Xenopus tropicalis: one gene and its partner. The protein of the gene in region 1 purifies or fractionates together with the protein of each later gene. This does not show direct contact. Links are inferred from orthologs where the notes say so. Each region holds a gene or a part of one and is shown in the gene's direction. Other genes may lie near its edges.

Region 1 (4,726 bases):
ACCAGCCCATGGTATCAGGCAAGTGATTATCATCACTGGGTGCTGCTTAACATTTGGCACCCCCAGTGATTTTTAACTTTCATTCTTCTTTAAGCTATCATTTGACACAGGAAACCACAATTTTGGAAGTCAAATATTTTGTCTGGCTGTTAGATCCTCTTATATTTGGGGTCTTTTTATGACTGGAAACTGGCAGGTTTACCCCTGGTTTCTTCCCCTATTTTGGACATGAAGTCATTTAGTTGGGTTATGTAAAAAATGTGCATAAACACTATCCAAACTTTCAGAAATATATATTTTTTTACACATACCTGATTCCACAGATTGAAAGGAAACCATGATAATCTATCTTGACTTGTATAAAATCATTTCCAAACCCCACTTAAGGCCCCCATACACGGGCCGATAGAAGCTGCCGATATCGGTCCCTTGGACCGACTCGGCAGCTTATCTGCCCGTGTAGGGGCAGAAACGAGTGGGCTGGCCGACCGATAGCTGGCCTGAAATTGGCCAGCTATCGGTCGGCCAGGTTAGAAAATCCAGTCTCGCATCATAATGCAACCCCTACCTTACTTAGTTCCATTGTGCAGTGAAGCATTCTGGGACTAGAAAGTCCCTACTTTCCATTGTGAGTGGTGCACAGATTCTTTGGAAAGCAGGAGGACGTCAATTACCAGAATCCATCACTACACAGTGGAACAAAGTAAGAAAGGGGTTGACGGTCATGGTTTTCTTTCAGTCTATGCAATCAGGTGTGTATATCTGGTTTCAGTTAACACCCACTTATCTTTAGCAGAATACTTCAGAATTAACTTAAAGCATCTACTGATGTGAAACCTGTTGATATTGTTCCAGAGAACTTATTGAAATGCTTGCACTTTCAAGGAACCAGAAGCTCAGCCAACCTGGTGAAGAGAACCAAGTGAGTCTGTAGATATGCAGTTTTGATTTACAGATTATAGAATGAATATAACTACAAAACAGTTGATTGCATTACTATTAATTTTACATATGTTACATCGTTTATATGCAATTGACATATTGCTAGCCTTGATGTAGTCAAAGGGATATGACTAGATAAAGGACAATTTGCAGTGTTTACATATTGATGAAATATGATCTAACTGTATATGATAAATATGATTTATATTTGAAAAGTTGTAATTCCTTTTTTATCAGTAAAAATAATCATTTGAGCCTGTCGACTTCTCTCCCTATTTTTAGTTGTATATATACCATAAAATTAAGCATCATCATGATAATAATTATTCATTTATAAAGTGCAATGATAACATAATTCTATTATTAAACATTATAACAAATGGGGGGGGGGGTCTTATAATAATTTAACAAACAAGTTATCGAATGAAATAGGATTTGACAGCCCTGCTCACAAGAGCTTACTATCTAAATAGCTTATACTTTCATCTAAATCTATAGGTATTCTTTCTTTTCAATTCAAAATGTGGCAATAATCCATCTATGTGGCAAGAGGAAAGATACTGTGCCTCCTCATCCTAGTTGGATATAACAACCCCAGCAGTATTTGATAGACACCAATAGGTTGCATTTGACTCTGTCTGCCCTCTGTGCAGTGAGCTATGGTAATGGCTTTTTTGCTCTCCTTTTAAATGGCAACAGTGCCCAGCAAATGTAACTTTTATTTGTATTATGGCTTACTATTTACTGCATGCCCCACTGAAATAAGCCTGCTGTATAATGTGTTAAACCCCCCAATCTCCCCCCCCCCTTCCTTAGTGCCCACAATGCAGATATTTGCCATGAAGGAGGAATAGCTGTTATGTGGGCATCCCTTATTTAAAGGAATACTATCAAGGGTACCAATGCTGTTTTAAAATACATTAGTTAATAGTATTCCTCACACAAATCCTCTGCTGAAATATAGCTAGGTTCAGAGGGCAGGTAACTGAGCATGCTGTCGGGGGGTACATTCCTCCTGGATAGTACTAAATGCAGAACTCTGCTGTACTGGTCTGTGAACGAGTGCAAGAATAGAAGGGTTGGTAGGAAATTCAGGTAAGGCACTGCAAACTGCTGGATTAGAGTGCCTTCTGTGGTACAGTGTGTGAAGTCTAGATAGAGGAGGAGCAGCAGCAGAAAGTATGTACTGAGACATGCTCTGTTGTGTATGACAAGGCAGTCTTACGGAGTAGTTACATTCTGTGATTCTGTTCATGATTTTAGTAGATACACAGCATGGAAATAAAATTTACTGACCTGGTAGATAGCAAGTATTATCAGAAGCAATGTTATAAATGAAAATTATAATAATATATAATTATATTATAAATAAAATATATGAAGTTACAAATTAGCAACTTAAGAGGTAATGCAATAAAAGGTCTAAAGTTTGCCCACACCTAGTAACCAACTGCAACCAATCAGATGCTTTCATACCACTGACCAGTAAATATCTGCTATCTGTTGACTGGTTGCTCTGGGTTACTAGACAAAATGCAGACTTGAGACTGTTTATTACATTCCCCCATTTATTTGGTAAAATACATTGTTTACGATGTGTATTACATAACAGGCAAATGCATTTTTTAGTAGTTAGTTGTTCATCCTTGCATTACCCTATCTCTCTCAGGTAACTTATCACAGTACCCAATTCTGTCTGTTTTTGTCAGATTTTAGAGTTACTAATTCAGAAGGATGGGGAATTCCAAGAACTAATGAAAGTGGCATTAAGCCAGGGGAAGATTCACCAAGAAATGCAGGTTTTAGAAAAAGAGGTGGAGAAGAGGGACAGTGATATCCAGCAACTACAGAAACAGCTGAAGGAAGCCGAACACATATTGGTAAGCTCTAGAAATAAACAACTGCTGGCAGCTTTTTGTCGTCTGCTTATATGGAACAAGCATGAGTTGATTCTGAGTAGAAATTTTTACCTCCGTGCTTATTCCTAACTGAGTAATAATCTTATTCCTAACTGAGTAATAATTATTGTATTGTTTTTTTAGGTATCTTGGTCCCCAGTGTTGCTATACTTTGCTTCAGGAAATGGGTTGTCTTGAACCAAAAGTACTTTTTCCTATGTATTAGCAATGCAACAGCTATTAGGGGACTGACACAACACTTTTATTAATAACTCCACAGCAGACAATCCAGTAATCCACAATGCAAGAGAGTTCTCTACTCACTTTGAGATACCACGGCAACAATTTAAATTTTGATTCTGTGTTATTTTTTCTTATTTAAATAATTCATTTATGCCTCTTTCCATCCTGGAATATGGTGTCATATTATCAGAATGACAAGTGCATTTTCAAGGATAAAAATCTCCTTACTAAGGTAAATTGGTAAATAATGCCATGCAATCTGGGGAAAATACAGTACTAATCTAACTGCACGTTTCCACAAGGTGTCAGTAAAGGGGTAGTTAAGTATATACGTTCTCATTTTAAAAACTAAATTTAGTTCAGGTCCTAAGCTGAAAAGTAATCACGTGTTCCACCACTTATCATAACAACATGGCATTAAAACCACTGTTTAATTGGAGCTAGCAGAGGGATTCTCTACCCAAAAACTGTTTTTACAAAACAAAAGGAAATGTAATTTAAGCAATTAAAATATAAATTAATTAAATAAAGGTTTTACAAATATTTATTGCAGGTGAATGTTGTATTTGTTTATTTCTTGCTGTTCTTTGGGTCTGATTCTTAAAATGTATCAAGAGTCATTTATTTTTTAGGTCCAGGCTTCAGTTGGCTTCTGCTATATTGTTTCAGAAGTCAGTGTCAGGAATGCAGACAATATAAACCAGTTTTTGTTTGGAGCTTATCTAAACTAATTGCTGTGACTAAGGAACACTAAGTTAGCTTTCTTTAGAATAAAAATACATGTATTTGGATAATAAAGCTTCTTTTACTAATGTTATCACTTTTTGAATGTTGGGGTCATCTATATTAGTGGATGTCAAACACAGGGCTTTCAGATGTTGTTGAACTACAACCTTCAGCACTTGGTGGGAATTTTAACCTCCTCTCTTTGCCTCGTATAATTTTATTTATACAGTGCTACTTTTCACTGAACAATAAATGAATAGAACAAATAGGGGTATTTACAATAACAAATACATAGGACAGTTGCAGTACAGACTAAGAGCTAAGGGCTCTGGCACACGGGGGAGATTAGTCGCCCGCGAACAGGTAGTTAATCGCGGGCGACTAATCTCCCCCGTGTGCCAGAGCCCTAAGTGTCAGAGACAAGAGGTCCTTGTCTCATAGAGCTTACAGTCATGCCTGTACTAGATTTTCAATGTACTGAGTTATGCTTTTCATATTCTGTTATATATGAATACCTAGATTCATTAGAATACTGTAAAAAGTGTGTTTAATTAAAATTGTGTTATTTCTTTTATCCTAAGGCAACAGCTGTCTACCAAGCTAAGGAAAAACTGAAATCAATAGATAAAGCAAGGAAGGGTGAGTGTGGAAGATTTTCATGAAACTAATGGCATAGTTTTGCACAAGGAATTATTCTAAAAAACAATATAACATACATAGGCCCCCACTGAGGTTCAAAATAGGCACTGGCATTTCAAGTACACAGATTCCAAACTGCTTCCCCCCTCCCCAGCCCACCAAATAGTGACTGGCATCTTACAGCAGCCCCTCTGAGATTTGCATGAATCCAAATATTTCCAGTCTGGGCCTGAATATACATCTATTTTTGCCCAACTGAAACTTAAACATTTTGGCAC
Region 2 (4,726 bases), about 18 Mb from region 1:
TGTACATTTATCCCTAAAATTATAATTTTGCTTCCTGACAGTTATAATACAGTCTGTTTAAAGTAAAAAAGCATTCACAATAATATCTTCAGTTATTATGTTGAATTACAGAGGGTGTATAATTTTGATGACCTTTTCATCGCTAAATTGCTTAACTTATTTGCAATAACAGAGACCTGGCTTTCCTCTTCTAACATTGCCTCACCTGCTGCTCTGTCCTTTGGGAGGCTACACCTTACTCACACTCTCAGACCTGGAAACAGGGTGGGGGGTGGGGTAGGACTCCTTCTCTCCCCCGCTATTCATTTAAAGTCCCTCCACCTTCTCTTTCATTTTCCTCATTTGAGGTTCACTCTATTAGGCTCCTCTCCCCTGCTTCGCTTCGCATTGTGGTCATATACCGACCTCCTGGACCGACCTTACAATTCTGTGGCAACGTTTCTGCTTGGCTTTCTTACTTCCTTTCCTCTGATTCCCCATCCATTGTACTAGGTGACTTACCTGTTAACAATCCTAATGCCCCTGCTGTCTCTAAACTCCTTTCACTAACATCCTCCTTTGGGTTATCTCTGTGCTTTGATTCCCCCTCCCCCTCTCACTCCAATGGAAACTCCCTGGATCTTATATTTACGAAATGTTGTTCTATCTCAAACTTCACTAACTCCCCTTTTCCCCCTCTCTGATCACAATAACTCTCGCTAACTCCCTCTACACCCTCTGCTGTCCCCCAAACATGCACATGCACCGAGACCTGCAATCCCTAAACACGTCACACCTCTCTTCTTCCTTTGACTTTCTTCATTCTAACATCCTAACTGTCTCTTGTCCTAAGCAGGCTACCTCTGTCTACTACAGCACACTCGCCACTGCCCTTAATGAGCTTGCTCCTGCCAAGACAAAATGCATGAGGCCCAAACCACTCCAACCCTGGCACACTGCTCGTACACTTGAGTGCCACTGGCGCAAATCAAGATCAGAATCAGATTTCTGCAGCTACAAATCTGCTCTGCTCTCCTATAATATCACCCTCTGCCAAGCTAAACAAACCTACTTCACTGCACTCATTAACTCCCTCTCTAAAAAACCTTCTCTACCTTTAACTCTGCTGTCCCCTTCTCCACCTCCTCCGTGTGCTACGGTCACTGCTCAACCCATTGCAGAGCACTTTAAAAATAAAATTGACACCATCCGTAGTGACATTGCACAACTTAATACCCATAACCATTCCCCTCCCTCTCTACATGCTACCCAGTCTCTTCTTGGCTCCTTCTCCCCAGTGACTGAAGAGGAAGTCTCAAAACTTTTGGCTTCCCCTCACCTTACTACCTGCCCGCTTGATCCCATTCCTACCAAACTTTTACGCAATGCCAACCCCTGTCTTATCAAAGCCTTAACTCATCTATTCGATCTCTCGCTCTCTACTGGAATCTTTCCATCCCAACTAAAACATGCACTTGTAACCCCTATTCTGAAAAAACCCTCCCTTGATCCCTCCAATCCTACTAACCTCCGACCTATCTCTCTGCTCCTGTTCATCTCCAAACTGGTCGAGCGCCTAGTTTACAACCGACTATTCCTCTCTGACAACAACCTCCTGGATCCCCTACAGTGTGGTTTTAGACTAACAGATGACCTCCTATCGGCTAATACCAAAAAACACTACTCGCTACTAATACTTCTCGATCTCTCTGCTGCTTTTGACACTGTGGATCACCCTCTTCTCCTCCAGTCTCTCCTCTCTTGGCCTTCGTGACACTGCCTTATCCTGGTTTTCATCTTATCTCTCAGATCGATCCTTCAGTGTCTCTAAAGGCCCCCATACACGGGCCGACTATAGGTGCCGATATCGGTCTCTTGGACCGATTCGGCAGCTAATCAGCCCGTGTATGGGCAGAACAGAGCGGCCTGGCCGACCGAGATCTGGCCTGAAATTGGATTGGGGACCGAATCGGCTCGTTGATGCGGTCCCCGAACCGACTGCCCCATAACCTCAAATGTAATCCGATCGTTGCTACCCGATATCGCCCACCTGTAGGTGGGGATATCGGGTGAAGATCCGCTCGCTTGGCTACATCGCCAAGCGAGCGGATCTTATAGTGTATGGGCACCTTTACAATGGGGAATCATCTTCTCCATTGCCTCTTTCTGTCGGGGTTCCTCAAGGCTCTGTCCTGAGCCCCTTACTATTTTCTCTCTATACCTCCTCAGTTGGCAAATTAATCAATTCTTTTGGCTTTCAGTACCACCTCTATGCTGACTATACTCAGATCTATCTTTCCTCTCCTGATCTCAACCCAGAGCTTCTAACTCGCGTCTCTTCCTGCCTGTCCGCTATCTCCACTTGGATGTCCCAACGTTAACTTAAATTAAAACCTCTCTAAGACTGAATTGGTTCTCTTTCCCCCATCCAATGCCCACGTTGTTCCTGAGGTATCTATAAAGGTTAACAATTCCACCATCACCCCATTTTTCCAGGCCCGTAGCCTTGGGGTTATCCTTGACTCTGCCCTGTCTTTCACTCCTCATATCCAGTCACTTATCAAATCATGTCACTTTCACCTAAGAAATATTTCCAAAATACGATCATTTATCACCCAAGATGCTGCCAAAATTCTTATTCACTCTCTTATAATAACTCGCCTGGACTACTGTAACTCCCTATTAATTGGCCTTCCCCTCCAAAGACTGTCCCCTCTCCAGTCCATAATGAATACTGCTGCCAGGCTCATACACCTCTCCAACCGCTCCTCCTCTGCCATGCCACTCTGCCAAGCCCTGCACTGGCTTCCCCTACCATCCAGGATAAAATTCAAACTAATGAATCTCACATACAAAGCAGTTCATAACTCTGCCCCAACCTACATCTCTGAACTTATCTCTAGGTACCATCCAACCCGCTTGTTGCGCTCCTCTACTGACCTGCTCCTCAACTCCTCTCTCATTCCCTCCTCACACACTCGCATTCAAGATTTTGCAAGGGCTGCCCCCCTTCTCTGGAATTTGCTCCCACAAATCAGACTTTCTCCCAATATCTCTGCCTTCAAGAGATCTCTAAAAACGCATTTATTTAGAGAAGCTTACCCTAATCTTGTTTAAAATAACCTCAGTGTGCTGCTAAAAGCAATAACCTGTGCCACACGTCTCACAACCCTTTCTCCTTGTAGATTGTAAGCTCTTTTGGGCAGGGCTCTCTTCACCTCTTGTATCGGTTATTGATTGCTTTATATGTTACTCTGTATGTCCAATGTATGAAACCCACTTATTGTACAGCGCTGCGGAATATGTTGGTGCTTTATAAATAAATGTTAATAATAATATACTGCATATTTATCTCAATTGTCAATCTAATAAACAAGGAGATTGTTGAAGCAGACTAAGACATTTTCAGATTCCAGTTGAGGAGTGCACTCCATACATCAGAAACATACTCCAGGAGAAGTTTTTTCTTCTCTTTGGTGCTCTTCTTTAAGAAAGTTACTTAATGCTTTATACATACAGTGTTCTACTTTATATGCAGTTAACAGTAGTTATGATGCACACTGATTGCTTCTCTTATTATTATTCTTTTGATAGTGAGGAACTTGGTGAATTCATGGAAATGAAAGGTGCCAACAGCCCAGGGATCCTTGTACTGACAACAGGTCTTAGTAAGCCATTTATGCGTCTGGACAAATACCCAACACTGCTAAAAGAGTTAGAACGACATATGGAGGTATTTTAGGAATTTTCTTTTATTTGCCAATCAGAATGACTTGTATATTGTAAACACAAGCACAATTGTTTTCATTGTGTTTTTGCAATAATAATGCTTTGTTTGTGGATCACACTGCAAATATTCCTTTATCACATTATTTAATATCAGGCATGTTTGTAGTATTCTGTGTTGTTTTGTGCAGCTTGCACTAAAAAGGTATTAGATGCAGTATGTCCTCTAGGATAAATCCAACACCAAAGTGCGCATTAACATAATGCATCACGGTACTGTAAGGAACATTACTCTGATTGATATATAAAACATTTAAGGAAATGATTTCTGCTGACTGAATTTCAATAAAATATATAACATTTTAAAAAGTATAAATCTAAAAATGGTTAGAATTGTACTTTCATGTTCATCTGATTGGTCTCTACTATTGATTGTGGGCTTCCCTTTTATAAATCAAACAAATCTAGAATGCAGTTGCCCTGGACCGTCATAATTGATTGTCAGTACACTTCTCTTTTAAGTTTTGCACATTTTGCTTCACTGTTGCATAAATAGAAAAGTTAGAGGCGCAATACCATTGCCAAGTTAAAGGAAAAAAGTAAGTTTATCTTTGATTTCTGTGGCCTTACTACTGTATGTGCCATGTGAAAAGAGAGTGTCAGACTGATTTTATTCAGTGAATCTTCAGTGGCTATGACTAGAGCCTCACTGTTCAGGCATATCTGTTCTCTGTTTATATGAGAAATGACTGCACTTGTATTGATCTGTTAATTTTTATTGGGGTGACAGGTAAAACACCAGTATTTACCAAGAACATTTCAACTTCCTTCCTAGTGGGTAAAGAAAGGCAATTTGAATATACAAAGTCCATGGTCCTTCCAGTTTGCCTTCTTTCTAATTATTAAGGGCCAACCACTTGATTGATCAAACTCTACTTGATTGACTGAAGTAATGCAGAATATAAAACTGGCTAGAGGAGTACTGTGTCTGATTAATCACAGCAGCTATGTTGTTCTTTGT

The links.
Region 2: the proteins of med4 (region 1) and arhgef7 purify together in Homo sapiens (affinity purification with mass spectrometry; 3 studies listed by BioGRID and IntAct, with this or other methods). This does not show direct contact. The link is inferred for Xenopus tropicalis from reciprocal best matches to the Homo sapiens genes MED4 and ARHGEF7.

Annotation. Positions count from the first base shown.
Region 1 is NC_030678.2:134,873,917-134,878,642, reverse strand, and holds part of med4 (mediator of RNA polymerase II transcription subunit 4), read left to right. Parts: intron 1-855; coding exon 856-922; intron 923-2,651; coding exon 2,652-2,822; intron 2,823-4,390; coding exon 4,391-4,448; intron 4,449-4,726. UniProt on the Homo sapiens protein: Component of the Mediator complex, a coactivator involved in the regulated transcription of nearly all RNA polymerase II-dependent genes.
Region 2 is NC_030678.2:116,928,085-116,932,810, reverse strand, and holds part of arhgef7 (rho guanine nucleotide exchange factor 7), read left to right. Parts: intron 1-3,573; coding exon 3,574-3,712; intron 3,713-4,726. UniProt on the Homo sapiens protein: Acts as a RAC1 guanine nucleotide exchange factor (GEF) and can induce membrane ruffling. Functions in cell migration, attachment and cell spreading. Promotes targeting of RAC1 to focal adhesions. May function as a positive regulator of apoptosis.